Linked DNA regions of Notamacropus eugenii. The protein of the gene in region 1 interacts with the protein of each later gene in a pairwise test. Links are inferred from orthologs where the notes say so. Each region holds a gene or a part of one and is shown on either strand. Other genes may lie near its edges. The genes, in order: EXOSC8, SLAIN1, TFAP4 and POLDIP3.

The links.
Region 2: the proteins of EXOSC8 (region 1) and SLAIN1 interact in binary tests that used the Homo sapiens proteins (3 or more experiments, as listed by UniProt). The link is inferred for Notamacropus eugenii from reciprocal best matches to the Homo sapiens genes EXOSC8 and SLAIN1.
Region 3: the proteins of EXOSC8 (region 1) and TFAP4 interact in binary tests that used the Homo sapiens proteins (3 or more experiments, as listed by UniProt). The two-hybrid records come from large-scale screens. The link is inferred for Notamacropus eugenii from reciprocal best matches to the Homo sapiens genes EXOSC8 and TFAP4.
Region 4: the proteins of EXOSC8 (region 1) and POLDIP3 interact in a two-hybrid assay, tested with the Homo sapiens proteins (2 studies listed by BioGRID). The link is inferred for Notamacropus eugenii from reciprocal best matches to the Homo sapiens genes EXOSC8 and POLDIP3.

Annotation. Positions count from the first base shown.
Region 1 is NC_092876.1:98,499,230-98,506,350, reverse strand, and holds the start of EXOSC8 (exosome complex component RRP43), read right to left. Parts: upstream 3,006-7,121; 5' UTR 2,929-3,005; coding exon 2,912-2,928; intron 2,245-2,911; coding exon 2,208-2,244; intron 1,917-2,207; coding exon 1,823-1,916; intron 735-1,822; coding exon 661-734; intron 1-660. Other genes in the region: ALG5 (dolichyl-phosphate beta-glucosyltransferase), read left to right, coding at 4,067-4,132. UniProt on the Homo sapiens protein: Non-catalytic component of the RNA exosome complex which has 3'->5' exoribonuclease activity and participates in a multitude of cellular RNA processing and degradation events.
Region 2 is NC_092877.1:259,227,666-259,234,514, forward strand, and holds the start of SLAIN1 (SLAIN motif-containing protein 1), read right to left. Parts: upstream 3,017-6,849; 5' UTR 2,944-3,016; coding exon 1,991-2,943; intron 1-1,990. UniProt on the Homo sapiens protein: Microtubule plus-end tracking protein that might be involved in the regulation of cytoplasmic microtubule dynamics, microtubule organization and microtubule elongation.
Region 3 is NC_092872.1:58,665,087-58,672,860, forward strand, and holds the start of TFAP4 (transcription factor AP-4), read right to left. Parts: upstream 3,013-7,774; 5' UTR 2,766-3,012; coding exon 2,368-2,765; intron 1,898-2,367; exon of another isoform or gene 1,866-1,897; intron 1,850-1,865; exon of another isoform or gene 1,442-1,849; coding exon of another isoform or gene 1,365-1,441; exon of another isoform or gene 1,190-1,364; intron 1-1,189.
Region 4 is NC_092874.1:301,431,036-301,438,113, forward strand, and holds the start of POLDIP3 (polymerase delta-interacting protein 3), read right to left. Parts: upstream 3,003-7,078; 5' UTR 2,912-3,002; coding exon 2,853-2,911; intron 1-2,852. UniProt on the Homo sapiens protein: Is involved in regulation of translation. Is preferentially associated with CBC-bound spliced mRNA-protein complexes during the pioneer round of mRNA translation. Contributes to enhanced translational efficiency of spliced over nonspliced mRNAs.

The DNA.
Region 1 (7,121 bases):
CTATTAACACACTACTATGTAAACTATTTTATTTTGACTAGCTTAGGTTTTCCATTATGTTCCATACAAAGTAAATGCCTGAAAATAAAATATTTTTTATGATTTCATGTTACCAACAGGCTTATCCTAGGAATCTTAGTTTCTCAAATAATTTTTAAAATCTGAAAAATTAAAAATGAATTCCAATTTTGATGCATCCAAAGAATAATCATATCACAATTCGTGTGTCATTACTGAACTTTTGTTTCTCTGGCCTGTGTTACAACCATTATTAATCCTTAAATTGCTCTTTGGAAATAAAAATAAGAGCCTGATAAAAATGCTACTGGATTTTCCAGTCTACTGCAGTGTTAGAGACATTCATTATCATCTAAATAAGAGAAATGAGAAGCCTCATGGCAAAAGGATAATGAGCTTCCCTGGTAGTAAGGAAAACCTAGGTTTAAGTCCAGCATCTGACACATCCTCTATGTCATGCTGGCCACTACGTAACCTGTCAGTGTCCCAGGTAAGTCTCCAAGACTCCATCTGTATTAGTAGAGAGAGTATCCTCACCAGGAGCTCCCTACACTGGTGAAATCAAAGGTCTGGTTAAAAAAAAATGATCAGTGAAACTAATCTGGTAACTTTTTTAGATGATTAAATGAAAAAGAGACCTACCGCTTTAACTCCACAAATTACTGTTGTATTTCCCAACTTCACTAAAGCAGAACCATCTGCAGTAGTAATTGAACCTGATATTTAACAGATTAAAAAACTTATTAGAAAAAAAATTTCAAAAGTCATCTTACCAGTAATTATTACCAGGTTTAACAGTTTTGTCCATTTGATTAAAAACTCATCATGGCTTTACGTGTATTTGGAGGTTCTGGTCAAGTCAGTGAAATTTTGCTTCTAGTTTGCCTCATCAGTCAGCGGACAAAATCTAATTCTATCTAAAGTCAAGTCCAATTCAACAAACATTTATACTGTGCCAGGTGCTGGAATATAAAGACAAAACCCAAACAATTCCTGTCCTTGAGAGACCTGTATTCTTTGAGGGGGTACAACTAGTATACTGATAAGTACAATAAGAGGAAATTTGAGTAGAAGGAGTATCAGAAAGGATGTACAGAAGGCAGCACCTGAGAAGAGCTGAGATAAGGAAGGAATGCATTCCTAGCAGGAGAAGCAACACACAAAAAACACAGAGATAGAATGTAGAGATTGAGGAACAACTAGTAGGCCAGTTTGGCTGGACTATGAAATTGTGTAAAGGTCAATAATATGAAAGAAGACTGGAACAGTAAAGAGAGTCAAGACTAAAGGGCTTTAAGTGCCATGATGAAGAGTCTGCATTTATACCAGAGGCAACAGGGAGCCACCAAACGTTTCTGAACAAAGAAGTGCCAAGTTTATTACAGATAAATGATATACTTACACAGATTAACACAATCAAGTGATTATCCTAAAGTAAATTTCATTACAAAATGTTTTGAATCCTTTGCTTTATTAGATTTGATTGCTGCATATTGCTGGAAACAAACTGGGACTTACTAATATTCCATATAGAAATTTTTATTGTAGCTACATTTGTTAAAATAAGATTTGGTTTATTATTCATAAGAGAACCATGATTCCAATTTATTCCATTACTCCATCTAGCTTTTCATAAATGACTCATATACTTAAGCCTGTGTCAACAATTTATGACACGCATACAGGAACAAAATCTTTTGGTTAAAAAAAAAAGCATTTCCAAAAAAAAAAACCACCAGAAGAATTTATCAGCAGTACAGAACAAGCGCTACATAGAAAGTTGGTTTGGTGTTGGAGCACTTACGTTTCTTTTCAGGACGCTGAATATTCTTACCTATATTGACAGTAGTGGTCCTGAACTCCCCCAGCTCCCTTCCATCTGGACGGCAGTTCTCTTTCTAAATAAACAAACACGATTCCCATATACTTTCCTTAATCATACCGCAGGCATATCATTCCCTCATTCATGCTTCTCCATCATGTCGTGTGAACCCCGCAAAGGCCTCCCTGAAATCTCATGTGAACTTTACAGTGACGTAACAAGGTGCTCTACCGTTAAGCCCGGATGACCTTGGCCAGGCACTTGACCTAGGCCTCAGTTTCCTCATCTGAAAAACGGGGGGACTGAACTAGATGACCGGCCTCCTCCACTTCCAAAGTTCTAGATGTACCCCGTTGCTTTTACTTACCAAAAATCTCCTATAATACTCCAGTGGTTCGACTGTTCTGAAATGATTGAAAATACAATTTATTTTTAAAGATTCACAAGCACACTAAAGCCAACACTGTGTTTCAAATTCTCTTTCTGACGTTGTAACAAAAGGTGTCTAAATCTGTGGATCCCTCACATGGATTCACGCTACGTCCTTAGCGTCACAAAATGCTCTTGGCTCGCACGGGGTCCTCCCGGCGCCAGCTTGGCTTCTTTAAACGTCTAGTTTTATTTAGGGCTGGGCTTTTTAACTGTGGCAAAGACGCGGCTCGGGTCAGCCTCTGTGCGCAGACCACGCGGCCGGCCCATCGGGGATCCGACGGCAACGAGCACGGAGGCTCCGGAAAGAAAGCGCGGTCTGGACCCGCCTGGAGCTTCCTGCCCCCCGCGCAGCCCGCCCCGGCCCGGGCACTGGGAGACTGGCCCGCCTCCCCTCAGGTCAGAGGCGCAGAGGTTACCCTGCGCAGCCGAGGGCCCTGAAACCCGACCGGCTCCCCGACGTGCCACTCGGGGGAGTGGAAGCGGGGCCCACGGGCCGGGGATCCCAGGGCGCAGAAGGCCCAGCCCGGCCCGCTCGGGCAGGCCGCGGGGCTCGGCTCTCCTTCTGAGGCCGCAGACGCCCCCGGCGTCTTTCCCTCGCTCCCCGCACCCCTCCCGGCGGAGTCCCCCGGGGAGACTCACTTGAATCCAGCCGCCATGTTCTACGCGTCCCACGTGTTTCCCGGCGGCGGGAGCCCGCCCTCCTCCGCCGCCGGCGCCCGCTCCGCCTCCGCACATTCGACACGAAACCCGGCCGCTCTGCCTGCGCTGGGACGGAGACGGTTCGGGAGGCGACCACGACCAGCTCCTGGCTTGGTGGCCTGACCCTGAGCGAAGCGGTAGCATCTCTCGTGTTTTCCTTTGATTTCGAATTTTAGCGAATCTCCATTTGGGGAAGTGAAGAACACGGCTCGGGGACGTCCGGTTACGGGGCATCTCCCGGCGCTGCCCCTTCGGGGTTCGTGGGGAGCGGTGCGCTCCGGGCCGTGCTTTGCCCGGACGCCCAGCGCGGGCACCGCGGGCAAGTTTTGAACACGTGTTTCCTAAAGTTTGCAGACGACAGATGGGGGGCCCGCTGCAGCCGTCCGTCTGGCCACGTCACCCTGCGCGGCTGCCCCCCAAGTTCCTCCCCTTCTTTCGAGGAAGACGGGGAAGCTTTCTTCACCCAGACGTGTGTCGCGCGCGAGCACGGGAGAGAGTGGCCTGCCAGCACCGAGGGGGCACCTGCCGCCCACGGGGTGACTGCGAGCACCGGCACGGTTTTGGTTTTCTTGTTTTTACAGGTAATCCATTATACACTGTATAAAAGCACCACTTAATATACTCAATTCCTTGGGAGATGGACCAAAATATCCATCTCTCGGAGATATCGCCCCGGGGAGTGAGACGAAGTACGGCCGGGACTGGCTTTAGGCTCCTGGAGCCAGGTCTGACCGAAAAATGGGACGATCCCTTTTCCCTCCAGGAACTTAGTATCTTAAAAAAGAGCCAACAAATCCAAGCCCAGGAGGAGCTCTGAGCTAAGACCATCTAGGACCGGAAACGCTGATGGTGGGCGGGGCAAGAGGCTCGGACTGCCCATGCGCGGTGGGAGCCAGCCTGTCAAAGCGAGGCACATTGCCGACAGGCGGCGCTGTGGGAGCGGGTCGGGAAGCGGGTCTAGGCCAGGCGTCTCTCCCGACGCTGGAGGCGGGGCGCGGCTGCGGGCCGTAGCGGCCGAACTGTCGGCGCTTCCGCTTAGGTGTAGGTGCGGGATAGGGCCAGATCCAGCGAAGCTGCGGGCCCTGGGGATGGAGGATGGTGCCCTTCGTGGAGCAGCCGGCGGTGCTCTTCTTGGTGTTGGTGCCCACGGTGCTGATCCTGGTGAGGAGGGGGAGGGATCCAGGACTCCGGCCCGGCGGGCCCGCCTTCCCCGAGGACGATTCCCCTCCCGGGCTCCAGGCCCTGGCAGCCCTGCCCAGGATCTCCGACCCAAACCCCTGTCTCCAGCCCTCTCAGCCTTGCGAGCAACCCCACTCTCTAGTCCTCACCCTTGGCCCTAGACTTAGAACTGGAAGGGACCATTTTACAGATGGGGAAACTGAGGCCTGGCGAGAAAGTCACTTCAGACTCAAAGTCATTAATTTTCAGACGCAACTTCTCTGCCTCCAAATCGGTGCCCTTTAGACCCCACCTTCCTGCCTCTCTTCTCTCCAGACTAATTAGCACACCCTCTGTTCTGGATCCTGTGACCCTGAGATGTTTCCTCTTCATTTCTTGGGCCGCATGCTCCAGTCTTTGTCCGCATTGCCTAGGAAAAGTGATGGCAGGACAGTGCCAGAAGTAGCTCCTTAGTAATAACTGAAGGGGAGATGAATAAGTCAATGAACGAATGAACGTAAGAAAAAGCTCTCCTGTGCTAGGTAATGTGCTAAGAGGAATGAATGAATGAATGTGTGAATAAATGAAGATAATCCCAATTGGAAGAAAGAAGAGGTAGGGGTGCATTTAGACTATCCCATATGTTTAGAAGGAAGGAGAGAAAAATGAGTTTTAATTTGGACATGCGGAGTTTGGTATCCCCTTATAAAGACCCCCGATCTCATTGTTATAAACTGTTATAAGGAGTTTATTCTTGTACTTTCCACTCTGGTAGAATAGATACTTCTAATAAATTATGAATAATTTTAAAAGGAAATTTTGGCTAATGTCTGTAATAGATGGTACTGAAATGAATCTTTCTAAAGAGTAATACTCTAGGCAGTGTGTTTAGTAAATGCTGAGTCCATTTAGTAAATGCACTTCTCAGTTCTCCACTTCCAGTGTAACTGGAAAAGGTCCTCACTAGATGAAGCAATGTACATAATTATTATCTCAGTATCTTGGGACTTGTATCTGGGTAAGAGATGAATTCTAACAGATCATTTTGTCAAATTGGGCAGTATTAATTTTTTTCCGGTAACTTAAAAGGCATACCTGTTTGGAGCTATGAAGAATCCAGCATTTGCCCCACTCCTCAAATTGAAGTCATCACACATTGAAGAATTATCAACAACATTTATTTATGAAACATCTTATGTACTATGTATGCTATGTCCTAAGAAAACACAGAGGGAGAAAATCATCTTTAATAATCTGCAATAGAAAAGCCAAGGTATTGCCTCAGCTACTGACATCTAGGGAAACACTACTTTTTCCTTCCTCAGTTCTTGCTAGACCTGTTACTTCTGAGAAAGGGACATAGGAAAACATTAAAGGAGCAGAGATTGGTTACAGAAGAGGAGGGATCTGTCTTCCCTTTCTCCTGCTGCTAGGGATCCTCCTGTTGGTGGCTGAGAAAAGCAGGTGGACCCAGGAGAAGGCAAGGGAGTAGGACTGCTAGTCTTGGGGGAGATGATACGGCAGATACCTGTGAGCACACGCACACTGGACTGGTCCAGACTAGATGCCCCAGAAGCATGTTAATCTTGATAGGTCTAAAACTGAACTCGATATCCTTCCTCATAAAGATTTCTTTCTTCCAGTCTTCCTTATTTAGGTTAAAGGTTCCATCCTTGTGGTTTCTCAGCTTCATAATCTTGGCATTATACTTTCCCCTTACTTGCCTTGACCCCACAAATATCCAGTCACTTGCCAAACTTGCCTTTTCTGCCTTTACAACATATCTCACATCTGACTCCTTCACTCACACAGCCATCACCTTCAGTTTTCCCTAGATATCTTCTCATGTTGCTTCTATGTTGTGCTGTGCACCAAAACCTAGCTCTCTCTGTAAGATGCTGGATTTTCTGACTTTTTTTCCAAATCTGGCTACTTATATGTCACAACCCCAAACATACAAGACCAGGAGGAAGAATTGGCATATTTCTTGCTCCCTAGTATTCTCTCTGCCACTGTCACTCAACAGCCAACTCTTTTTCCTTTAAGGCTCATTGTGTTATCCTTATGACTGAAATCTCTGGAACTCCAAGACATTCTTTCTTCTCCCTAATAAGTTCAGTGCCTGGCTTATAGACCTCTTCATCCCAGCCTAGCCTCACATGACTTCCCAGTTCTTCTGATTCAGCTCCCATGATCTGTCTCCGGCTTACTTCAGCGATACACAGGAGTGTTCATACTTTAGCTTAATTTACTCCAGTTCAAGAATCTCTAATTATGGCTTTCCTATCAAGGAGCTTATATTCAATTGGAAACTTACATTCAGTCCATATAATGAGTTGTGTGAATTAAAGTGGATAAACTTTAAAGCTGTACAAACAGTATTTTACATTTGGGCCATTATTTCTTGATCAAATGAATCTAGACAAAGATAATTAATTGATTCAGCAAAACAACTGTTCTGTGTATATCATCATGGTAGGTGCTGGGGTTGTGGTCTAAAAGCTCAGTCATGGATCACTGGTTACCAGAGAAACAAGGCAGCAGCATACACAGTGGAAAGACCATCTGGGTTCAGATTTCACTTTTGATACTTGGCAAGTCACTTAGCATCCTTAGGCTTCAGGAACTTAGACTAAATGGTCTAGGTACCACTAGATGGAAGTGGAGGTGAGACTACATTCCAGACTGTGAGGGGATATTGTGTACAAAGACATGGAGATGGAATTGGAATGTTATGTATGAGGAGCAGCTAGTAGGCCAGTTTTGCTACATAGTACAGTACATAAGTAGAAATTATATGAGGAAATATAGTCTGAAGTCAAATGAATGGCATTAAATGCTAAGCTGAGGAGTTTACATTTTAATCTAAGGCAATAAATAACTATTGAAGAATCTTGAGTAGGAAAGTGATACAGTCAGATCTGTGTTTTAGGAACATTATTTTGGAAATAAATGTGGAGGGTGAATTGAATAAGAGAAAGACAGAAACCAG
Region 2 (6,849 bases), on another chromosome or scaffold:
AAGACAGATAACATTTTAATTTTGGGTGAAAATAAGATTTAAATTGCAAAATGCTTAGAGTTCATTTGGTGTTTCATGAACTGAACCACTTGCACAGATATCAAATAGAGAAGTTTTGTGGAGACTTGTGAATATTTTAAGCTTCCATACACTTAAGACTTAATACTAAGTGATTTTTTTTTTCTTTCTTATGTTATTTGGGACTTTCACACAAAAGGACAGAAAGAAAGCCGCTTAAAGGGTAGTAATTAGGAAAAGAAAAGGGAAATGACTTAAGTTGTCTTTTAGGGGCAGGCAATGGAAGCAGATGCTTAACGTGCAAAAAAAGAGTCAATATTAAAAGTGTCCCTTTCTAAAAATGCATATTTTTAGTGCCACAAATTCTGTCCTCTGTAGAATGTGCAAGGGGGAGAGGGGGATGGGGGGAGTTTCCTGTCATAGTCAAGTTGTGAGTTTCTGAGAAGCAAATATTTTAGGGTACAGTTAACACACCAGGTGTTACCATTTTAAACCTTGCCTAGGGCAAACAAATGTTTTGTCAATGTAGGCTCTGCCCTACTTAGTCTCTTCCCCTAGATTAGAGCTGGTGAGCTTTCTTATTATTTCCTCTTTCACTGAATTTTAAAAATGCAATCTAGGCAATACTGTGAAAATAGGAAAAGAATCAAGACTTATCTTGAAAAATGAAGTTGACAAATTCAAAAGTATAACCAGTGACCAAAATAAATTTTCATTCCCCTGTTATTTAGGTGACAGTGATGTTAATTTTCCCTAGGAAAATATGTCACAACCTCCCTGGGTCACATTTTACTGATGAGGAAAGTGAGGGGGCTGAACCAGATGTGATCTGAGGTCCCTTTCAAATCTTGAACCAGGACCCTGTTTAAACCATGCCTGACCTTGGTCATCAATTGAGAATCCACTAATTAGAAATTCTCAGAACTTTAATTAAAAGCCTTTTGCAAAAGGCTATTGCTGTTGAAAAGGACAAAGCAAAGAGGTAAAGAATTTCCAATTGAATTTAAAAGTAAAAAACAAAGTCCACAGCTCCTTGCTCGAATGTCTACCTAGCACACACATGCTTAGGACTCCCTAGTTATGTCCACGTTTCTGACATCCACAATAGAGGAGAAAGCCAGTGAAGTCAGCAATTTTGCAAGGCAAGTCAGAATTTCAAAAGGAGATCTGCAAGAACAAAATATCAATGGAAATGCAGCAACTGAAAATGTATGACTGCACCAACTCAGATCTCCCAGATCGAAGCCAAATAAATAAACTGTTCCTCATATAGGAGCAAAAAGGGAATATTAGCAGGCAAATGTAGTACATGGGAGTGGAGGACAGGAGAGAATCCAGATAACAGGATGATTCCGCTTTTCTAATGGGTAAAGGTAATACTGACAGAAAAGTAGATTTAGACAGCAGCCAAACAAGATCATATGGATTTTCCAGTTAATGCTAATAAGGAGTCTGGGATCCAGCAACTCTAGCAAAAGTAGGATTAAAAGGCAAGCCGGTGTGGCTGGCCAGTTCAGCACTTAGACTCTTCAGCAGGAGGCATAGCAGCAAAAAAAAGTGGGGGGGGGGGGGGGTCCCAGCGATTCAGGAAAAGAGCCTCCTTTGGTCCCTCCAGGGAATGAAAACTAATCGTGCCCGCTCCAGGAGAGCCAGGAGCCCTGGCGTGACACAAGCTGTTTGCACCTGTCATTGCCACCATTTCCTGTATCTGCGGGGAGGAGGCGACAAAGTTGCCTTCAGGGTTTCAGAGGAAGAGGGAGGAAGGAGCTGAAAAGGAAGGGCCAGGCCGTAAGAGCCCAGAGGGGGCACCTTTCAGCCCTCTGCCTCCCACAGGACACCTAGGATCCTCACAGACACCCCCTTCCCGCGGGGCCAGGGCAACTGGACACGCTCCAGGGATGAGGCTAGGAGAGGGGCACAAAGGCTGGAATAGTAAAAGGAGGGAGAAGGACTGGGAAAGGTTCGACCATACCAAGTATACTCGTCCTCCAGCTGGCTGCAGAAGCCGTTCTCCAGGTCCAGCAGCTCCACTTCATCCAGCAGGGTCGGGGCAGGGGAGGCCGGGGCCGACGAGCCCCCCGGCTCCTGCCCCCCACCCCCTCCGCCTTCTCCCGGCCCCGGGAAGCCGGCGGGGGATGGTTTGAAGTAGACGAAGGGGGGCTCGGGCTGGGCCAGGCTGCACAGCAGGGTCGGGGCCGGGCTGGGGAGGCAGTAGGTCCCGGGGAAAGCCGGGCTGCCGCCGCCGCTGCCCCCGCTGCCCCCGCTGCCCAGGGCCAGCGCCAATCCCCCCGCGGAGCCCGCGGCCGGGGGGCTCAGGGGGCTTCCAGCGGCGGGCGGCACGGTGGCGGTCAGAGCGCCGGCCGGCGCGGACAGCGGCGGCGGGAGCAGCAGCAGGTGCGAGCCGGGGGCGGCGGCGGCCGAGGGTAAGGCTGAGGCTGAGCCGGAGGAGGAGGAGGCGGCGGCGGCCGCGGCAGCGCTGGCCGCGCGGCTCCGCAGCTGCTCGTTCTGCTTCTCCAGCTTGCGCACCAGCTCCTGCAGCTTCTTCACCTCCAGCTCCGCGTTCACCACGCTCCCGGAGCCGGCTCCGGGGCCGCCCCCTCCCGGGGAGCACTTCACCTGCTCCGCCATCATCTGCGGCGCCGGCGGCTTCAGCAGAGCCGCCTCCATCCTCCGCTCCCGGACCCTGGAACCGAGGCCGGGGCCGCCGTCCCCGCGAGCCGGGGCTGTCGCTGCCTCTGCCGCCGCTGCCTCTGCCGCTGCCGCCGCCGCCGCTCCTCCCTTCCTCCCGCCTGCCGGAGCCCGGCCGCCAGCACCGCGGGTGCCCAGAGCCAGCCCCCTGAGGGCATCAGCCACCTGCCCCGGCCGGAGCGAGCGAGCGCGAGCCAGCGAGCGAGCGGCCGGCAGCCACCAAGTTCTTCTGCACATGCTCACTGGAGCCCCCTCCGGTCCCACAGGGCTTTCAAGAGCAGGGCTCCGCGGCTCCGGGTTTTTGCGGGGGCCTGGTGGGGGTGGGGGCGTGGCGTGGACGTGGGAGCGGTTGGGGGATGCGCTTTGATGAGAGGGAACTGTGAACTGTGAAAGGGCGGTGCCGGATCCCCAGCTAGGGGTCTGGGTGGCGAGAACGGAAACCAGCCCTCCCTTAGCTCTGCCCAGGTGCCTAGCTAAGGGAGCGGTCTTTGTAGACTGTGAAAAGTTTCCCGTCTTATTCACCCTGACCATGGACAGAGCCCGCCTGGTGGGCGCGCATTGTTTCCAAAGTGCTGGGCGAGGAGACGTCAAAGTACCTTAGGAGGCGCGCTGTAGAAAGAGAACAAGCACTCAGGCTCCAGGTGGGCTGTGGGCTTATTCATCACCCACTGCTGAGAAAAAATCTGTGGTTGTGAATACCAGGGTTAATTCACAGCCCTTAGAGCACACGCTAAACTGATTCGAAAAGCTGTCAGGCACTGCAACGCAGACACACAAAATGTAGGAAGATTTAAATCCAATTCACACAAGGGAAGAGATCACCCCGTGATGTCATTCGTCCTCTTCGAAAAGGAAGAATGAACAGTAACAATGGTTTGCAAAGCTTTTCTCAGAACCAAAATTTGCTCCTTGGAAGGGATCTCAAAGGTCATACAGGAAAGGAAGCACCACTGTGTGATGGGGTTCAGACTCCGGCAGCCTCCTTGAGCTCCCCTTGAATCTTCCCACTTAATCTGGCCTTGCTTACTCAAATCTAATCTTCCCATTTGTTCCCGAAGTCTCTGGAAGCCCATGGGTTTTTCATTAACACTCTGGTCAGGTCTCTGTTGCATTCCCCCACCCTTGATCCCATCAAAACCCCATTACCCAGGCTGCTGACCACTCCCATCGAGATCTGTTTTCATTCCCATACAGCCTCTCTCAAGATCTCTGGATTGCCCCACCTGCTTCCCACCCAAACCCTCCGAGGTCTGATATCTCCTGAAAGTTTCCTGATAGCCTTTGACCCTCCTGGGATTCAGTCCTTGGACTTCTCCTCAAGACCCTCCCTAAACCCCTCCTCTCATCATCCTGGACTACCAGACCCCCACCCCCCCAGATGCCTCCTATAGTCTTTTCTGTATTTATTTCCATCTCCCTTGATGAAGGTGCTCAGATGCAATGTAGCTCAGATTCTGTCTAGCTGAGATTCTGTCTGGCCCACTTGTGAATAGGGGAGTTACAAATGCTTAGGATCCTTAAGAGCCAACCCAATTTGGCAAATCTTTAAGAATCTTTAATAAACTTTGTTTTCTTTGGCTTTAGGAAGGCTTGAGTCTAATTCATTCCAGCACAACCTGGACTGTGGGTATTTTGGTGTCCCCATCACACCTAAACCTCATCAGTCGCAGTGTTGCTTTTCCTTTTTTTTTTTTTTTTTGAAACTTATTGACCCTAGTGGCAAATACTGTTTCACAGGTTTTCATGGGCCTTCCTGGGCCACACCAGGCCAGGTGGGAACCTCCCTCCATCTTCAGCAAAGGTGTTAAAGGCCTTTCTACAAGGTACAAAGCAACTTTGAGGTCATCACTTTCTTATTTTACCTAGGTGATATCTGAGGACCCAGGAGACTGGACTGGAGACAACATGTGAGCAGGGAAGAAAGAAGACCTGATAAACCCAGGAAGAGATAATTAAGAGAGACTTCAATGGGGGAGACAGCATTTGGGTTGAGTTGGGGCAGGAAGAAGTAGGAATTTAAGAGGAGTCTGACAGACCCATAGGATAGGTGAGATCTTGGAAAGAGAGAGAGAGAGAGCAGGATCCAAGGTCAGCCCCAGCCCAACAGGTGCAAGGATTTCAGGGAAGGACCAGGAATCCAGACAACATTTTAATCTTTCCCATCATAGAACATCAGTGGGGCAGAAATGGGGACAAGGTCCCTGGACTCTTTCTTCAGGCCCCACTAGTCCAGGGTGGCCTTGAACTTGCACAATATGCAGGTATTGGGAGAGTCCACAAAGCCTTGTCCAGCCTTCTTGGAATACACACGTTTCCCACCAAACTTACCTCAAATAAGCAGGTGATCTTGAGGGTCCCCTCACCGTTAATGTTCAGGAGGCCTGAGGAATTCCTCCTCTAGTTTCTTCTTCAGCAAAAGATACTTGGGTTTGTAACCTCAGGCCCCACAGTAAACCACATGAATTTAGATGGCAGTGGTTGAAGCCCTGGCTTTGTCCCTGAACCACTAGACTGCAGCAGCAAGATAGAATACTGGTCCTACCCTCATTCCAAATTCTGGAATCTAGTCCTAAATTTCTACTACCTGGATTTGTTCAAAACTGAACTCTTCCCCTCTTCCCCTCCCCTCTAACAAATTTCCCTATTTCTGTTGAAGGTATCATGTTTCAGGGATCTTAGGTCTTCTAGCTTCCACATTACCCTCTACTGTTTGCTCATTTTCCTTCACCCAAATAATTTGCTAAATCTTGCACCTTCTATAGGCATATCTCTTGAATTCAAACACTATCCTCTACTCATACAGCTTCCCCCTTGGTTTCTGGTCCTCTTCACCTATTACTTACATTATTACAACAGTTTCCTAACTGTAAAGTAATATTTAGGGACTTCTAACAATTTGAGCATGTCACTCTCCTATTCAATCACCTCCTGTGCTTTCCTATTTTCCAGTAGGATGAACTACTCAGATACATGGCCTTATCACTGTTCCTCACACCATGCTTCCTTCAATTTCCACTGGTTATATTCCACAGGCTTCTTGCCTCTACCTCCTTGAGTCCCTCTCTCTTCAAGACTCAGCTTAAGGGACAATCTTTTGCACAAACCTACACCTGATTAACCCAGCTGTTGGTACTCTCCTTTCCAAGCTATCTCCTATTTAATTACTTTTTGTGTAGTTAAATAGGGTGCTTACATAATCTGAGCTAAACTTAAAACTTAAATCATTTAAGACTGCACTAAGACTTTAGAATGTAATCTCCTTGTAAGTAGAGATTGTTTTATTCCTTGTGCTGGAGTTGTGGCAACTAGCACAGTACTTGGTAGTTAATAAGTGCTTAATAAATATATTTATGAATGTGTATATATATATATATATATATATATATATATATATATATATATATATACATATGTTCATATGTATATGTAGATATGTCTTCTTATGTTATTGATCAATATCCCAGTTTCCAATGCAATGAATTTTGGAAGTGTATCCATAAACAAATAAACAAACGAGGGAAATTTTAATATAAACAAAAGTATGAGCCTGGTGTGATATCTGCCCTTGACCATCCCCTTCTATCTACCTTCACCTCTCAGAAACTAAGACCTAACCCAGCACTCCCCCTTTTTTGAGTTTCAATATATCTCCAGTCTCCTCTGGATGTCACTAAAACCTGGAAAAGTGGAGTCCCTCAAGTGGAAGTCCTAAGTAAAGGGTCTATGGAAGGATTCTTCGCATGCTCAGTAGCAGATGCGGGTAAGCAGTATTCCTGTTACACAAAGAAGGAAAGAGACCGGCACAATGGGAACAAAGAGATACCCAGCTCCACATTAGCAAAAGAAATAAAGAAAAGGCACATCCAAATGCAAGAATAAGAATGATGTGATAAAGAAATGCAGCCATCTTACACCAGAATTCACACTCCTAAGGATGAAATAAAGATGAATAGGCCCCTCCCCCATTTTTCCGATTATGGCATATAGGATACAGCCAAGCAACCAGTAGTCAATATTTTCTATTGTGTCTTCTAAGGACTGGTTTTTACTAATATGATTGTAATTGAAGAGCTCTAGAATCATGTATTGTTTTCAAAATAGCAATAATAATAAGGCACTAATCAAAGGTTTTTCTGGCTCAAA
Region 3 (7,774 bases), on another chromosome or scaffold:
TTCATAGGTAAATTGTCTGAAGGACGGCATCAGGTTTATTCATACGAACAACAAACTTACACTTTTCATACATTTCTTTAAACTTGTAAAGTAGGTAGTTCAAAGGTTTCTATCACTATTTCACAGATAAGGGGGCAGCCAGGTGGCAAAGTAGAAAGAGTACAGGTCCTGGAAGCAGGAAGATTCATCTTTGGGAATATAAATCTGACCTGACACTTAAGTACTAACTGTGTGACCTGGAGGAGTTACTTAACCTTCTTTGCCTCAGTTTCCTCATCTATAAAACGAGCTGGGGAAGGAAATGGCAAAGCACACCAAAATCTCTGCCAAGACAACCCCAAATGGGGTCACAAAGAATAGGATGAGACTGAACAACACAGCTAAAGAAACTGAGGCTTGGAGAGAAATAAAATAAAATTGCCAAGGTCAAACAACATATTAAGAGGTCTTAAGTCCACAGCTATTTCCATTACACTATAAGGGTTTTCTCTACATCCCCAATGTCAATCCTAGGGAAAGTTATGTCATGACACTAGCCCTGACACCTGAGAGACTATCTGGTTTCAAGCCCTTTATTTTACTTTTTGGTTATGTGATCAGCAGAACTGGACAGACAGTATGAATGGGAAGAATCTACCGATCCTGGCTGTGAACTTAAAGTGAAGATCCAAGGCTAAGAACTGATTAAAATTCTCTCATTCTTTCTGCTCTCAACAGGAGACCCCTTCCCTTTCCCCCCAATGAGCCAATCTAGTCTTAGTTCTGTAAGCCAAGAGTTCCAGTCTCTACCAGGGCACCTCTCCACTACCCTACTCCCAGGAGGGAAATCTAGGAGGGGTTCCAACTCCGACTCTGCGCAGGTAAATTGGTGGGGGTCTGGGTGTGCAAGGGCAGAAGACTCCAGAAAATTCTCCCTACTGAGCATAAACAAGTGAGGAAATAGACGGAGTCCCACTTGTCGTGTCCCTTGAAAGTCCTGGTCAGTCAATTTATCCCAATACGTCCCGAGAGTCTGGGGGCGTTTTTTCGGGGGAGGGGTTCGGCTGCTCCTAAGTAGCAGCCGCCTGCCCAGATACATGGCGTTTGCCAGTCATAGAGCCTATTGGGGCGGGGGGGGGGGGCTGCCCAACACCCCCAAACCATTCGCACGAAGTTAAAGTCCCTGCTGGGTAGTAAGGGCCAACCCTACCCAAGCAGCGAGGGCTTGGACACGAAATTCTTTCAGTTTCTGCCTGGGCTTGGCGGACGTGCTGTCTGGAGTTTGTAGCAGAGACGCACGTGGAAAGGGACAGAACGAAACCGGCGGCAAGAGGGGGGAAAGTGGCCCCAGACCAGGGGCGGGGAGGGGGGGGAGGTGGGCCTACCCCGCAACTCGCGGTAAATCCGTCCCGTCCCGAGCTCCCTGCCCCTCCCCCGCCCGCGTGGACCATGCTTTGTGCATGGAAAGCGTGGCCCGGGCAGCGCCTACAGCTCCCACAATCCCGCACACGAGGGGCCCGCGAGAACTACATCTCCCAGGAGACGGCGGGCGGAGATCCGCCTACTCCAAGAGGGCTGCAGAGTCACGTCCAGGCCTCGCTGGTAAACAGCGCCCCAGCGCTGGTGAGCCGCCCCCAACGTGCCCAGGGGTCACCGGCGGCCCTGTCCCGGGCGGCTCGTTCCAAAAGCGTCCGGCTGGCCCCGAACCCACACGCACACGCCACCCACGCGCGCGCACACGCACCGCACACACCACACACCGACAGCAAGGGACACCCCCCCCTTCCTACCCGGCTGTTTGCAAACACGCACATCGCCTCCCCCCTTTCCCCACCCCCACCCGACCAGAGCAGCCCGGAGGAGCAGCATGGCTGCATTGTAACTACCGTCGCCTGCAACCTGGCCCCGTGCACGCCCCAGCCCCGCAAGCCAGCACCCCGCGGAGTCCTGTCCCTCCCCCCTCCCCCCGCAAAAAAAAAAAAAAAAAAAGCCTTTCTCAGCACCAAGCAAGAGCCAGAGTGAAGGGGAGGAGGGAAAGGAAGCCGCCGCGGGAGAGGGGGAGGAGGAGGAAGAGGGGGAGAAAGCGACCAGCATGGCCGGGACTGCTGCAGAACCACGTGGGTCTGTTTGCAATTTACAAACGTCGCGACTCGCTCTCCTGCACCAGACAAAAGTAGCTGGGGCGCACTTAGGGGCTGCCTGGGGTCCCGGCGCTCCAGAGGAGAAGCCCCTGCGAGCCTCCGCACGCGGTGCAGCAGCCCCTCAGCTCCCGGCGGCGCCTAAGAAAGGAGTCGGGCCGGTGCCATGCCATGCACACACATGCGCCGAGGGCAGGCTGGCCAGGGGTTGCATTAGGGAAAAAAAAAAGGGAGGGGGAGCGGTACACACCTACAGAGCCCTCCTATCACTTCTTTCTCTGTTTTCCTGAAATGTTGCAAAGAGGGCACCTTCTGAGCGGGCACCATGAAATACTCCATAGCGATCGGCCCCCCCCTCCTCTGCAAAAGCCAAGTCCTTGGTCCCGATCCGCTGGAGAATGCAAAATGGAAATCCGAATCAAAGGGCAGCGTCGGAGGTGCTGGCTCTCCCGGTCCCAGATGCTGGCGGCAAGGGGGGGGAGGGAGAGGGAGGGAGGGGGAGGTCTCTCCGGCCTGCCTCCCCGTCCGTGTGTGTGAGTGTGTGTGTATGTGTGTTTGCAGCTGATCAGATGTCTGTTTCAAGGCGGGAAACAGCTGGTGAAAACTCAGCACTCCCCCGGCCTCCTTCCGCGGAGTAAGGAATTGCATGTAAACAAAGGACTATTTGCAGCGCCCCCCCGGGCCGGCGGGAGACTGGGGCGAGAGGGGAGCGGAACCCTGGGGATAGCCTTTGGCTAGGGGCCCGCACTACTTCTTTTCCGCCCAGGGGGCTGGGGGGTGCGGTGGGCGGGCTGGGAAGGGACTGTGTGAATGAAGCAAACTGTCTGAGCTTCATGCGCCACTATGGGTGATGAGGTCCATCAGCTGACAGGTTGGCAAGCGTTGCAAAAAAAAAAAAAACCCACCCCAGCCACTGAGAGAAACGCAGCGCGCCCCCGGGAGTCCGGCCCCGACCCTGCCCTAGGTGCTGGAGGGGCGTGCGTGCAGCTCTGCACCCCCAGCCCACGGCGTGGTAGGGAGGAGAGGAGGAGAAAGGGGATTAGAGGTTGGTCCTTGCTCTGCAGCAAGCAGCAGCAGCGGTAGCGAGGAAGCAAGCTCCGGATGCGTAGTGTGCTGGGCTGTTTTCCACTTCTTTTCACTTTGCACCGAGTCCAGCCCGCTCCCGAGAGCTCCCTCGGAGTGGAGAGCCCCCTGGAAACTTGCGTCACACAACTACCACTTCCCACATGGAACTTCGGGGCTTACTTCAGAGGCCGGCCGACTGTCCCAGCCTGCTGGCTGGCTTTGCCACCAGAACTCCTCCCCTGCCGCGGCTCCGGGCGCTACCTGCGCCGCCGCTGCCTCTGCGGCTGCTGCCCTGGGAATCCCAGCCTTGCAGCTGGGAGAAGGGAGCTTCTGAGCACGGGAAAGGGGCAGCGTGGCTTTGAATTCCGAGCCTATCCACGAGGAAGCTGGGCCCCGAGCTGGACAGACAAGACGGGAATGAGCAGGGAAATGAGGGAGTGGTGGGAGGTAGCAGACCAGCAATGTCCCTGGTGAGGAGAAAGCTGCCCAGTATGCCCCGACACACACACACGCAGCCTCATTTCTCACACATCCTGGGTGCTGTGTCGGGCTTTCTCCTGCGTGGGTGGCCCTTCATTCATACAAGTGGGAGAAACCTGGCGTTCCATTAGGAAGTTCTAAGACTGATCCAGTCAAGTTAGAGACCTATGTCTGTGCGGCGGATCTGTAGAAAGAGAGAAGGAGGGAGGAATCCCGTTTGTTCTATAGTAAGCAATTGAAATTCTTCCCCTCCTCTCCCCCCCCCCCCCCCCAGTATTTCAACATTAACCGTGTGCTCTATTCAGGAATAATCAATCAACAGATATTGATATTGGTGCCTCCTATGTGCCAGGCATTGTGTGTACTAGGCACTTCAGATACAAATACCAAGAACTGTATCGCTCCTTACTTTCAAAGACCTTATATGTGAATGGGGAAGACAAATACATATAAAATTTCTGCAGCATAAATACTAAGCTTAAAAAAAGATGTCTTTTTTAAACAAGCTATTATTGGGGGAGGGCACTAGATGTTGGAGGACACCACTAAAGGGTTCCAGCAGATGGTTCCTGAGCTGAATTTTTAAGGCAGAGAGCGACTCAGAGGCAGCGATAAAGGAGAGAGTCAGTTCCGGGCGTGAAGGACAGCCGGTGTGCAGGCACTGAGATGATGGAAGTTGGAGTGTCCAAAGTGAGAAAAAGAGAGGCCAGTTTGGATTATAGCGTTGGAGACGAAAAGGAATGTCCGATGATGTGTTGGGGCCAGGTCCAGATTGTACCCAGGAATATATCTACTCACTTCTACGACTTTAAATGCTGCGTAATCCCCCTTTTGCATACTTTCATGGTTTAACCTAAAATCTACCTCCTTGAAATTTAATATACAGGTTGCCCCAAGTTATTTCACACTTCTATAGATGTTGCCTTAAAATTGCTTTCTAATCCCTCCCCTCCCAGTTTGATCTCCCTAGTAAGATTTCAAGTCCAAGGAGGGCAGGAAATATGCCTTTCTCTTGTGCCCCCCTCAGCAAGTGCTGAGCACTTCAAAAATGTTTATCGAGTTGAAGTCACTGGAGTGAGCTAACCTGGCCTCTCTAAGGCCTTGAAGTCTTGGAAACATGATGATGGACTGAGCATCTGGACAGCTTAGTCCATTACCTTCACTGTGGAGCAGCAAACTTTCCAGGTACTGATAGGAGTAAAAGAATGGATTGTGGACCATAGTGCTGAAGTTCACACAGTGCCCAGTTTCGAAGTAAAATGTGATGTTATGAATAACATAAATCATAATCACCGTGATAATTGGTAGGGGACAAGAAGAGTCTCTGGGAATTCCATCCCCAATTTGGCCAGGGAGAAAAAGGGCAGCAATCCTTTGACCTCTGGTCAATCTAAGGAGGCTTCACAGAGGAGGCAGAATTTAAAAAAACTTTAAATAATGGGAGGGGGAAAGAGGGAATGGGAGGAGAGAGAAAAAGAGAGATATGCTCTAACTCCCCTGAAGCTATTTCCTGATCCAAAATAATCTTGACCTCCCTACCTCAGGTAGCACTCCTGGCATGTTAAGTAGAGGATAAAGAATTTTGTTAATAACCAAATTCTAGGGCAGACCTGATGCTATTTTCCCCTCTCCTTCCTTTCTGTCTCAGCCAGTAAGTGACCCTTCTCATTTCTTTCTCTCTGTAACATCCCTGACAAGGATGTTCCCATATTGTCCTAAAGTTTGGGACAGCACTTCAATCAGTACAACACTAGGGGACTTGAAAGAAAAATACAAGACCTTGTGGAGTTCGTGGTCTCATTAACCCAACAGTATACTCAGTAAACAGTTTAATGGTAATTCTGGGATAGTACATGGTTAAATGCCAGACAGGTGCTGTGGGAGGTTCATCGGTCAATCAATAAACATTTATACAGCACCTACTATGTGCTAGGCATTTTACTAAGAGATCATCAAAGAGAGATCACTCTGGGATGGAATAGAAGTGAAGTAGGAATCTTGATTTAGGCCTTGACCTCTAGGTTAAAATTGGCAGGTGGAAGAGAGGAGGTACTTTAGTGAGAATTGTTTTTTCCCACTGCCCAAGCCTATTCCCCTCCCTAGTATCCTTACAGCCACTGTCCTAATCTAAGTGATTTGTCATTTGTTACTTAGACTGTAGCAACCTCATCCTCATTGGATTCAGCCTCCTCTAGGCTGTGTTCACCACTATTGCTCAAGTTGTCATCTCCCATTGTTTTGACCAAACCAACTCCACCTTGAAAGCTCTAATTTGGCTTTGAACCAGGAGTTCCCAAGCTGGGATATGAGAAGCTTGTCAAAGATGTTAGGAAATGTTTTGATTTGATTTTCTTGAATCGATTTCCAACCAAGTACAACAATGTAAACAGAAAGAATAACCACCACCAAAAAATTGAAGTAAGTGTTACAAAGTGACAAAAGAACAAACATGGCTGCAAAGAGGAGATAGGAGATGTTTTCATCACCACCCGCCATGCACTACTTTACAGAGGTGAGAGGTCCACAGCTGTGAAATCTTTTCAGATTGTTTTTATGTATTGATAGGTTTCACTGAGTTTTTTTCCCCCTCCTCTTTCTTTTTGTTTTTAGAAAATGTTCTCTCTTTAAAAATGGCTTTCTGGAGGGATGGGGGGATGGATTTAGGTGTGTAAAGACAAAAGACACCAACCAAAATTTATTCTTAAAAAATCCAAAAATTGTAACCTTTATTTCTTATATGCATGTCAATGGTAAATTTAAGAATGAATTATTTTCATAGTGAATGGGGGAATTGGTTACTGAAAGCCAAAGAATACAGAGACTAAAAAAAGTTAGGAACCTCATTCTAAATATAGAGAGGAAATGTGTAAAGGAAGGAGCACTGGTTTTAGGGTCAGATGACCTGGGCTCATATCCTAACTCTACTATTACCCACCTGTGAGATGAGCCAAATCACATTCCTACACTGTGTCTCAATTTCCTCATCTGTAAAAGCAGGGGAAGTTTGACTAGTTATCTCTCGAACTTAAGTATATGGTCGGAAAATAAAAGGTTTCTTCCCCGAAGAAACTTACATTAGATGAATAGGGATGGAATACAACATGTAAATAGAATTTGAGGACAGAGAACTCACTAGCTACTGAGTCTCGAAAGAAGCTAAGTATTCTAAGAAGTAAAAGTATTAAGGAGTGCATTCCAAGAATGCATAGAGGGTATGCAAAGACATGGAAGAGGAAGACAGATTGCAAAATATGAGAAACAGCATTAAATTAGTTTGTCTGAAACATAAGGTGAGTTCATTTAAGGAGAAAAACGTTCAGAAACAGATTAAATACTCAAGACTTGATTTCAAATCTGACCTTAAATACTTACTATATGAGTGTTTACTTAGTTACTTAGCTGAGTGGCCCTAGGCAAGTCACTTAACTTCTGTTTCCCTCAGTTTTCTAAGTGCTAAAGCACTTGCTTAGCACAATGCCTGGCACATAGTAGGTGCTATATAAATGTTAGTTATTATTATTATTTTAAAAGTAGGTTGGAGTCAGATTGTGAAAGGTTTTCAATGTCAAGCTGCAGCGTTTGTATTTATTCTAGAGTCAAAATGGAATTCTTCCATTCCCCCTGGAATTTCTTTAGAGAAGAGGAATAATGGTCAGACTTGCACTTTAGAAACATCATCTGGTCAGCATGTGGAGGAGGGTTGGGGGGGGAGGCCAGACTGGAAGCAAAGAGATAAGCAGAAACTGTGGCCAAGTCATAATGAGGTGGGGGCTAGCTAGGCTTGCAACTTCTAAAGTCCCTTTCAGTTCTACACCTCGTGATGTTATCATATCTGAGCTTTTTATGCTCTTTCCCAAACCAATTCCTAGACCTTTGCCCCAGGCACACCTGCTAATTCTTCCATCCCATTAATTTCTCAGGGGCAGGAATACCATCATGGTCACCTATATCTTAAACAGTTTCATTCTCCATTTCCTTAAATATTTCTTGGACTTAGTGCTTCAAGAAGCCTTCCTGAATCTATCAGAGGACCAACTCTACCCCTCAGGGTGCCCATGAGAATCATATCCAAGCCCCACCGCCAATTATTTACTGATACTGTCCCTTATGCT
Region 4 (7,078 bases), on another chromosome or scaffold:
AGGACTGAGACGCAGATCAGCTGCTCGATTCCCCCAGGGTCTTTAGGCTAAGGGTTCCAAAAATGGATGCTGCTGGGGCCAGATAGCACTCCCCTCTCACCCAGGTGAAAGAGCTTCCTTACTGACCTTTGAAGTTGTCTTTGGTGTTTGTGAGTTGAGAAGCTGGGAATTGCAGCTGCTACTCATGATTCCAGGCCCTGAAGCCTGCTCCAGTCCTGTCCTTGCTGTGCAGCCTGGACTGGGCTACGATCTGTTTTGAGCCTGGTGCGATAGAGCTTTCCTGTTGGCCTTCCAGGCTGTCTTAGGCTGGAAATCTGTTTCACTCTGTCATTGTGTGGCTTCTGCTGCTCTAAAATTTATTTAGTCATTTTTTTACAGGTATTTTATGGGTTATGGAGGGGAGAGCTAGAGTAGGTTCATCCTTCTACTGAGCCATTCTGGCTTTGCCCCAGGGAAACTGAACTCTTAAGCTTCTTTTAATTAAAGTGTTTTAGTACACAATTTGTTATTGTTCAGTCATGTCTGACTCTTCATGACTCCATAGCCCCTACTCTCTGTGGGGTTTTCTTGGCCAAAATACTGGAATGGTTTGCCATTTCCTTCTCCAGTGCATTAAGGCAGAGAGGTTAAGTGACTTGCCCAGGGTCACACCACTAGTAAGTGTCTGAGGCCAGTTTGGAACTCAGGTCTTTCTGACTCTAGGCCCAGTGTTCTATCCATTGAGCCACCAGGCTGCCCTTAATTGGGAAACTGAACCTGAAAACAATTTAGAGTGGAGGACGGAACTTCTGAGCCTGTAAATTTCCTAAGTGAACTTGAAGACAAGGGAAGGTGACTAGGCAGCTTCACAAAACGTTGGTGGTGGTACAGACTTTAATCAATTACAAAATAGAATCGGAATCAACTTGATTTTCTCAACAGAAAAGGAGTTTGTACTAGAACAGGCTGTGAAGTCCTTTAGAAATGGGGAGGGCGAAAGTCTGTTATTCCTGTCACCCTCAAAACTCTCCAGGAAGAGCTGGTTCAAACCATGCCTCAACCTGAAAGGGCCGCACAGTCCCTGGACAGTCACCATCACTCAGAGCCTCATCTATAAAATGGTCTCAACCTGTCACCTCCAAGGGGCAGGGACCCAGGATTTCACTGACATGGGCAACTCCTAGATAAAGACCCTTCCTCTAACCAATGCAGGTAGTGGGTACAGAGAGCTGGCATCAACCACACAGGCCCACAACACTCCTCAGTGAGGTAGGAACCAGACCAAAATGGGACTGGGAAACATTTAACAAAATAAATAAAAAGGAAATAAAACATAGAAAATATGACATTCTGAAACTAGGTCAACGTACGACCTGCGAATAGCAGGGTGTCTCTCTCGCCCAGAGAGCAGGGGGCGAGTAGCCCAGGGTCACGCAGGCCCATGCTCAAAAGTCTGCAGGGAGAGAGTGAATGTTCTGAACAAGGTCAAGTTATCGATAAGGCTAGTAACTACCAACAAAGGGGTCTTTAGCTCCTCCACGAGAATCCCTTTTAGGGACAAAAGCTAGAAGGCAGCATTATACATGGGAAAATGACAGGACTGGCACAACCCCTGGTCCTTAAGCAATGCTGACTTAAGCAATGCTTATGGAGCCCACCTGCATCCTGAAGGTTAACAGCTGACAAGTTAACAAGCCTCCTGAATTGTGCCTGGGCAGCAAGATGTGTAGGGTGCTGGGGGGTGCCACTGGTGCACAAGTGCCAGGCCAGGAGTCAGGAAGATGAGTCTTCCTGAGTTCAAATTTGGCCTCAGATGCTTACCAGCTGTGTGACCCTGGGCAAGTCACTTCACCCTGTTTCCCTCAGGTTCCTCATGAATGAGGAAATGAACTGGAGAAGGAAATGGCAAACCACTCCAGGATTTCTGCCAAAAAAACCCAAATGGTGCCTCGCAAGACATGACTGAACACTGAGCTGTGTGCAGATAAAAGAGTTCTCTGACTTAGGGTGACTGATGAGAGAACCTAGCTCGGAGAGGAAGGCTGAACTTCTGAAGCTGGAACAACTCAGACACAAAGAAAGGAACTGGGGAAGTTACACAAAATACGGGATAAACTACGACAATGACAAAAAGAGAATCAATTAAGAATGCCATCATTTCGATTTTCTCATTTTTAGTCATCACTGCAATCTCTAAATGCTCTAGAAATGTGGGCACTACTGCGCCCCTCCACTCCCCAGAAACGGGGGGCCGTGAGCACTACTGCGCCCCTCCACTCCCCAGAAACGGGGGGCCGTGAGCACTACTGCGCCCCTCCACTCCCCAGAAACGGGGGGCCGTGAGCACTACTGCGCCCCTCCACTCCCCAGAAACGGGGGGCCGTGAGCACTACTGCGCCCCTCCACTCCCCAGAAATGGGGGGCTGGGATTACTACGGCAACCCTCCACTTCACAGAAATGGGGGGCCCGTGATCCCCGTCGCATCCCTCCAAGCCACAGAAGGTGGTTAGCACTACGGAGACCCTCCCCTCGCCCCAGGCGCGGGGCCCGCCTCCCTCCCGGGCTCGGCAGCCTTTCCTCCACGACGCTCGCGCCCCGCCGCCCCGCCCTCCCCGGAGCCCAGGAATGAGCGGCGTCGCCGGCAGCCAATAGGCAGGTGAAGAGTGCGCGCGGCCGCGGCGACCCGACCAATGAGCAGCTGCGCTGGCGAGAGAGGGCGGGCCCTGGAAGGAGGGAGGGCCTGGCCCGGGCGGACCAGAGGGCCCGGAACACGGGGATGCCCCCGGCCACCCGACCCCCAGCCAGTGCCTCAATAGGCTCCGGGCCCCGGGTCCTAGCTCCGAAGCGGCGCCGAGGAGAGAGGCTCACTCACCGGCCCTTCACCGTCACCCCGCGCTTCCGGATGAGCTCGTCCAGGGACAGGTCCGCCATCTTGCGCCGCGGAAAACGAGAACAGGCGCCGCTCACGCACTCGGCGCTCCCCCGCCCATCGGTGCCGGAGAAGGGACGCAACTACTTCCGGTGCCCAGCTCCCGGTCCTTCCGCCAACGCACCAGATCTCGCGACACCCCGGAACGGGGAGGGGGCGGAGCGTGCGAGGCTGGAGGGCTACGTATCCCATGAACCCTTGCAATGACGACTTTCGATTTACATACAGAGAATGAAATGTTAAAGGGTCTTCTTTCTCCCCTTCATAAAAACTTTAAAATACGTAACGGAAGCTTATCAAACTGACGTGTAAGCAGTACAGTTTATGCTCAGTGTGATCAGCTGCTCCCGGACTCACCCCTAAGTGAAATAGGTCTGCGGACACCTCCCAGCCTCGCTTATGAAAACAGTACGGTTATGCCTTAAACTTATGAGTAAGGAAAATAACGATTCGGGTGACGCCCGAATCCTCACTACGCATGTGAGAAGAATTTTTGAGCGGGTACAGGTTGTCCCTAAGGTGACCCGCCTACTTTAGCGGGATGCCTGGGTGTAGCGATCTGCCCGTACCCCCATTTACTCTATGAAAAGCAGACTCTTCGGTGGGGTGTGGGGTTTTTTCTCTTTCCATCTCCGTTGTGGCGGCGTTTGGGATGTGGGGTTCGCTAGAACAACTTTTCTAGTCGCGGGAGAGGGGTACTTAAGTGATTACTGATTGTGTACCGTGCCAGGCTGTATGCCAGGCGTCGTACCGGGAGTTAGGGAGGGACAACCTTTCCTCTCTCTCACACCCGCGAAAGGACTTCAGTTTCTATGGCGGGAGGAAGGAGGGGGCGACAAACTCGGTGTCGGGGGAGTGAAGAAGGGCGGGCAGAGAACGGTCTCTGCGTCGAAAAACTCAGTGTTCAAGTCTAGTTTCCGACGTTGAAGCAGTTTCGTCGTGTGTGTTTGTGTGTGGGGGGTGAGAGAGAGGGAGGGGGGAGAGAATGAGAGACAGAGAGAGAGAGGAGGGAGGGGGAGGAGAGGGGAGGGGGGAGAGAATGAGAGATACACAGAGAGACTGGAGGGAGGGGGAGGAGGGGGGGGAGAGAATGAGAGACAGAGAGAGACTGGAGGGAGGGGGGAGGGGGGAGAGAATGAGAGACAGAGAGAGACTGGAGGGAGGGGGAGGAGGGGGGGAGAGAATGAGAGACAGAGAGAGACTGGAGGGAGGGGGGAGGGGGGAGAGAATGAGAGACAGAGAGATGGAGGGAGGGGGAGGAGGGGGGAGGGGGGAGAGAATGAGAGACACACAGAGAGACTGGAGGGAGGGGGGGAGGGGGGGAGAGAATGAGAGACAGAGAGAGACTGGAGGGAGGGGGAGGAGGGGGGGAGAGAATGAGAGACAGAGAGAGACTGGAGGGAGGGGGAGGAGAGGGGAGGGGGGAGAGAATGAGAGATACACAGAGAGACTGGAGGGAGGGGGAGGAGGGGGGGGAGAGAATGAGAGACAGAGAGAGACTGGAGGGAGGGGGGAGGGGGGAGAGAATGAGAGACAGAGAGAGACTGGAGGGAGGGGGAGGAGGGGGGGAGAGAATGAGAGACAGAGAGAGACTGGAGGGAGGGGGAGGAGGGGGGGAGAGAATGAGAGACAGAGAGAGAGAGGAGGGAGGGGGAGGAGAGGGGAGGGGGGAGAGAATGAGAGATACACAGAGAGACTGGAGGGAGGGGGAGGAGGGGGGGGAGAGAATGAGAGACAGAGAGAGACTGGAGGGAGGGGGGAGGGGGGAGAGAATGAGAGACAGAGAGAGACTGGAGGGAGGGGGAGGAGGGGGGGAGAGAATGAGAGACAGAGAGAGACTGGAGGGAGGGGGGAGGGGGGGAGAGAATGAGAGACAGAGAGAGACTGGAGGGAGGGGGAGGAGGGGGGAGGGGGGAGAGAATGAGAGACACACAGAGAGACTGGAGGGAGGGGGAGGAGGGGGGGAGAGAATGAGAGACAGAGAGAGACTGGAGGGAGGGGGAGGAGGGGGGGAGAGAATGAGAGACAGAGAGAGACTGGAGGGAGGGGGGAGGGGGGGAGAGAATGAGAGACAGAGAGAGACTGGAGGGAGGGGGAGGAGAGGGGAGGGGGGAGAGAATGAGAGACACACAGGGAGACTGGAGGGAGGGGGAGGAGAGGGGGGGAGAGAATGAGAGACACACAGAGAGACTGGAGGGAGGGGGAGGAGAGGGGGGGGAGAGAATGAGAGACACACAGAGAGACTGGAGGGAGGGGGAGGAGGGGGGGAGAGAATGAGAGACAGAGAGAGACTGGAGGGAGGGGGAGGAGGGGGGGGAGAGAATGAGAGACAGAGAGAGACTGGAGGGAGGGGGAGGAGAGGGGAGGGGGGAGAGGATGAGAGACACACAGAGAGACTGGAGGGAGGGGGGAGGGGGGAGAGAATGAGAGACAGAGAGAGACTGGAGGGAGGGGGAGGAGGGGGGGGAGAGAATGAGAGACAGAGAGAGACTGGAGGGAGGGGGAGGAGAGGGGAGGGGGGAGAGAATGAGAGATACACAGAGAGACTGGAGGGAGGGGGAGGAGGGGGGGGAGAGAATGAGAGACAGAGAGAGACTGGAGGGAGGGGGGAGGGGGGAGAGAATGAGAGACAGAGAGAGACTGGAGGGAGGGGGAGGAGGGGGGGAGAGAATGAGAGACAGAGAGAGACTGGAGGGAGGGGGAGGAGGGGGGGAGAGAATGAGAGACAGAGAGAGAGAGGAGGGAGGGGGAGGAGAGGGGAGGGGGGAGAGAATGAGAGATACACAGAGAGACTGGAGGGAGGGGGAGGAGGGGGGGGGAGAGAATGAGAGACAGAGAGAGACTGGAGGGAGGGGGGAGGGGGGAGAGAATGAGAGACAGAGAGAGACTGGAGGGAGGGGGAGGAGGGGGGGAGAGAATGAGAGACAGAGAGAGACTGGAGGGAGGGGGGAGGGGGGAGAGAATGAGAGACAGAGAGAGACTGGAGGGAGGGGGAGGAGGGGGGAGGGGGGAGAGAATGAGAGACAGAGAGAGACTGGAGGGAGGGGGAGGAGGGGGGGAGAGAATGAGAGACAGAGAGAGACTGGAGGGAGGGGGAGGAGAGGGGAGGGGGGAGAGAATGAGAGAAACACAGAGAGACTGGAGGGAGGGGGAGGAGAGGGGGGGAGAGAATGAGAGACACACAGAGAGACTGGAGGGAGGGGGAGGAGAGGGGGGGGAGAGAATGAGAGACACACAGAGAGACTGGAGGGAGGGGGAGGAGGGGGGGAGAGAATGAGAGACAGAGAGAGACTGGAGGGAGGGGGAGGAGGGGGGGAGAGAATGAGAGACAGAGAGAGACTGGAGGGAGGGGGAGGAGAGGGGAGGGGGGAGAGGATGAGAGACACACAGAGAGACTGGAGGGAGGGGGGAGGGGGGGAGAGAATGAGAGACAGAGAGAGACTGGAGGGAGGGGGAGGAGGGGGGGAGAGAATGAGAGACAGAGAGAGACTGGAGGGAGGGGGAGGAGAGGGGAGGGGGGAGAGAATGAGAGATACACAGAGAGACTGGAGGGAGGGGAGGAGGAGGGGGGGGAGAGAATGAGAGACAGAGAGAGACTGGAGGGAGGGGGGAGGGGGGAGAGAATGAGAGACAGAGAGAGACTGGAGGGAGGGGGAGGAGGGGGGGAGAGAATGAGAGACAGAGAGAGACTGGAGGGAGGGGGAGGAGGGGGGGAGAGAATGAGAGACAGAGAGAGAGAGGAGGGAGGGGGAGGAGAGGGGAGGGGGGAGAGAATGAGAGATACACAGAGAGACTGGAGGGAGGGGGAGGAGGGGGGGGAGAGAATGAGAGACAGAGAGAGACTGGAGGGAGGGGGGAGGGGGGAGAGAATGAGAGACAGAGAGAGACTGGAGGGAGGGGGAGGAGGGGGGGAGAGAATGAGAGACAGAGAGAGACTGGAGGGAGGGGGGAGGGGGGAGAGAATGAGAGACAGAGAGAGACTGGAGGGAGGGGGAGGAGGGGGGAGGGGGGAGAGAATGAGAGACACACAGAGAGACTGGAGGGAGGGGGGAGGGGGGAGAGAATGAGAGACAGAGAGAGACTGGAGGGAGGGGGAGGAGGGGGGGAGAGAATGAGAGACAGAGAGAGACTGGAGGGAGGGGGGAGGGGGGAGAGAATGAGAGACAGAG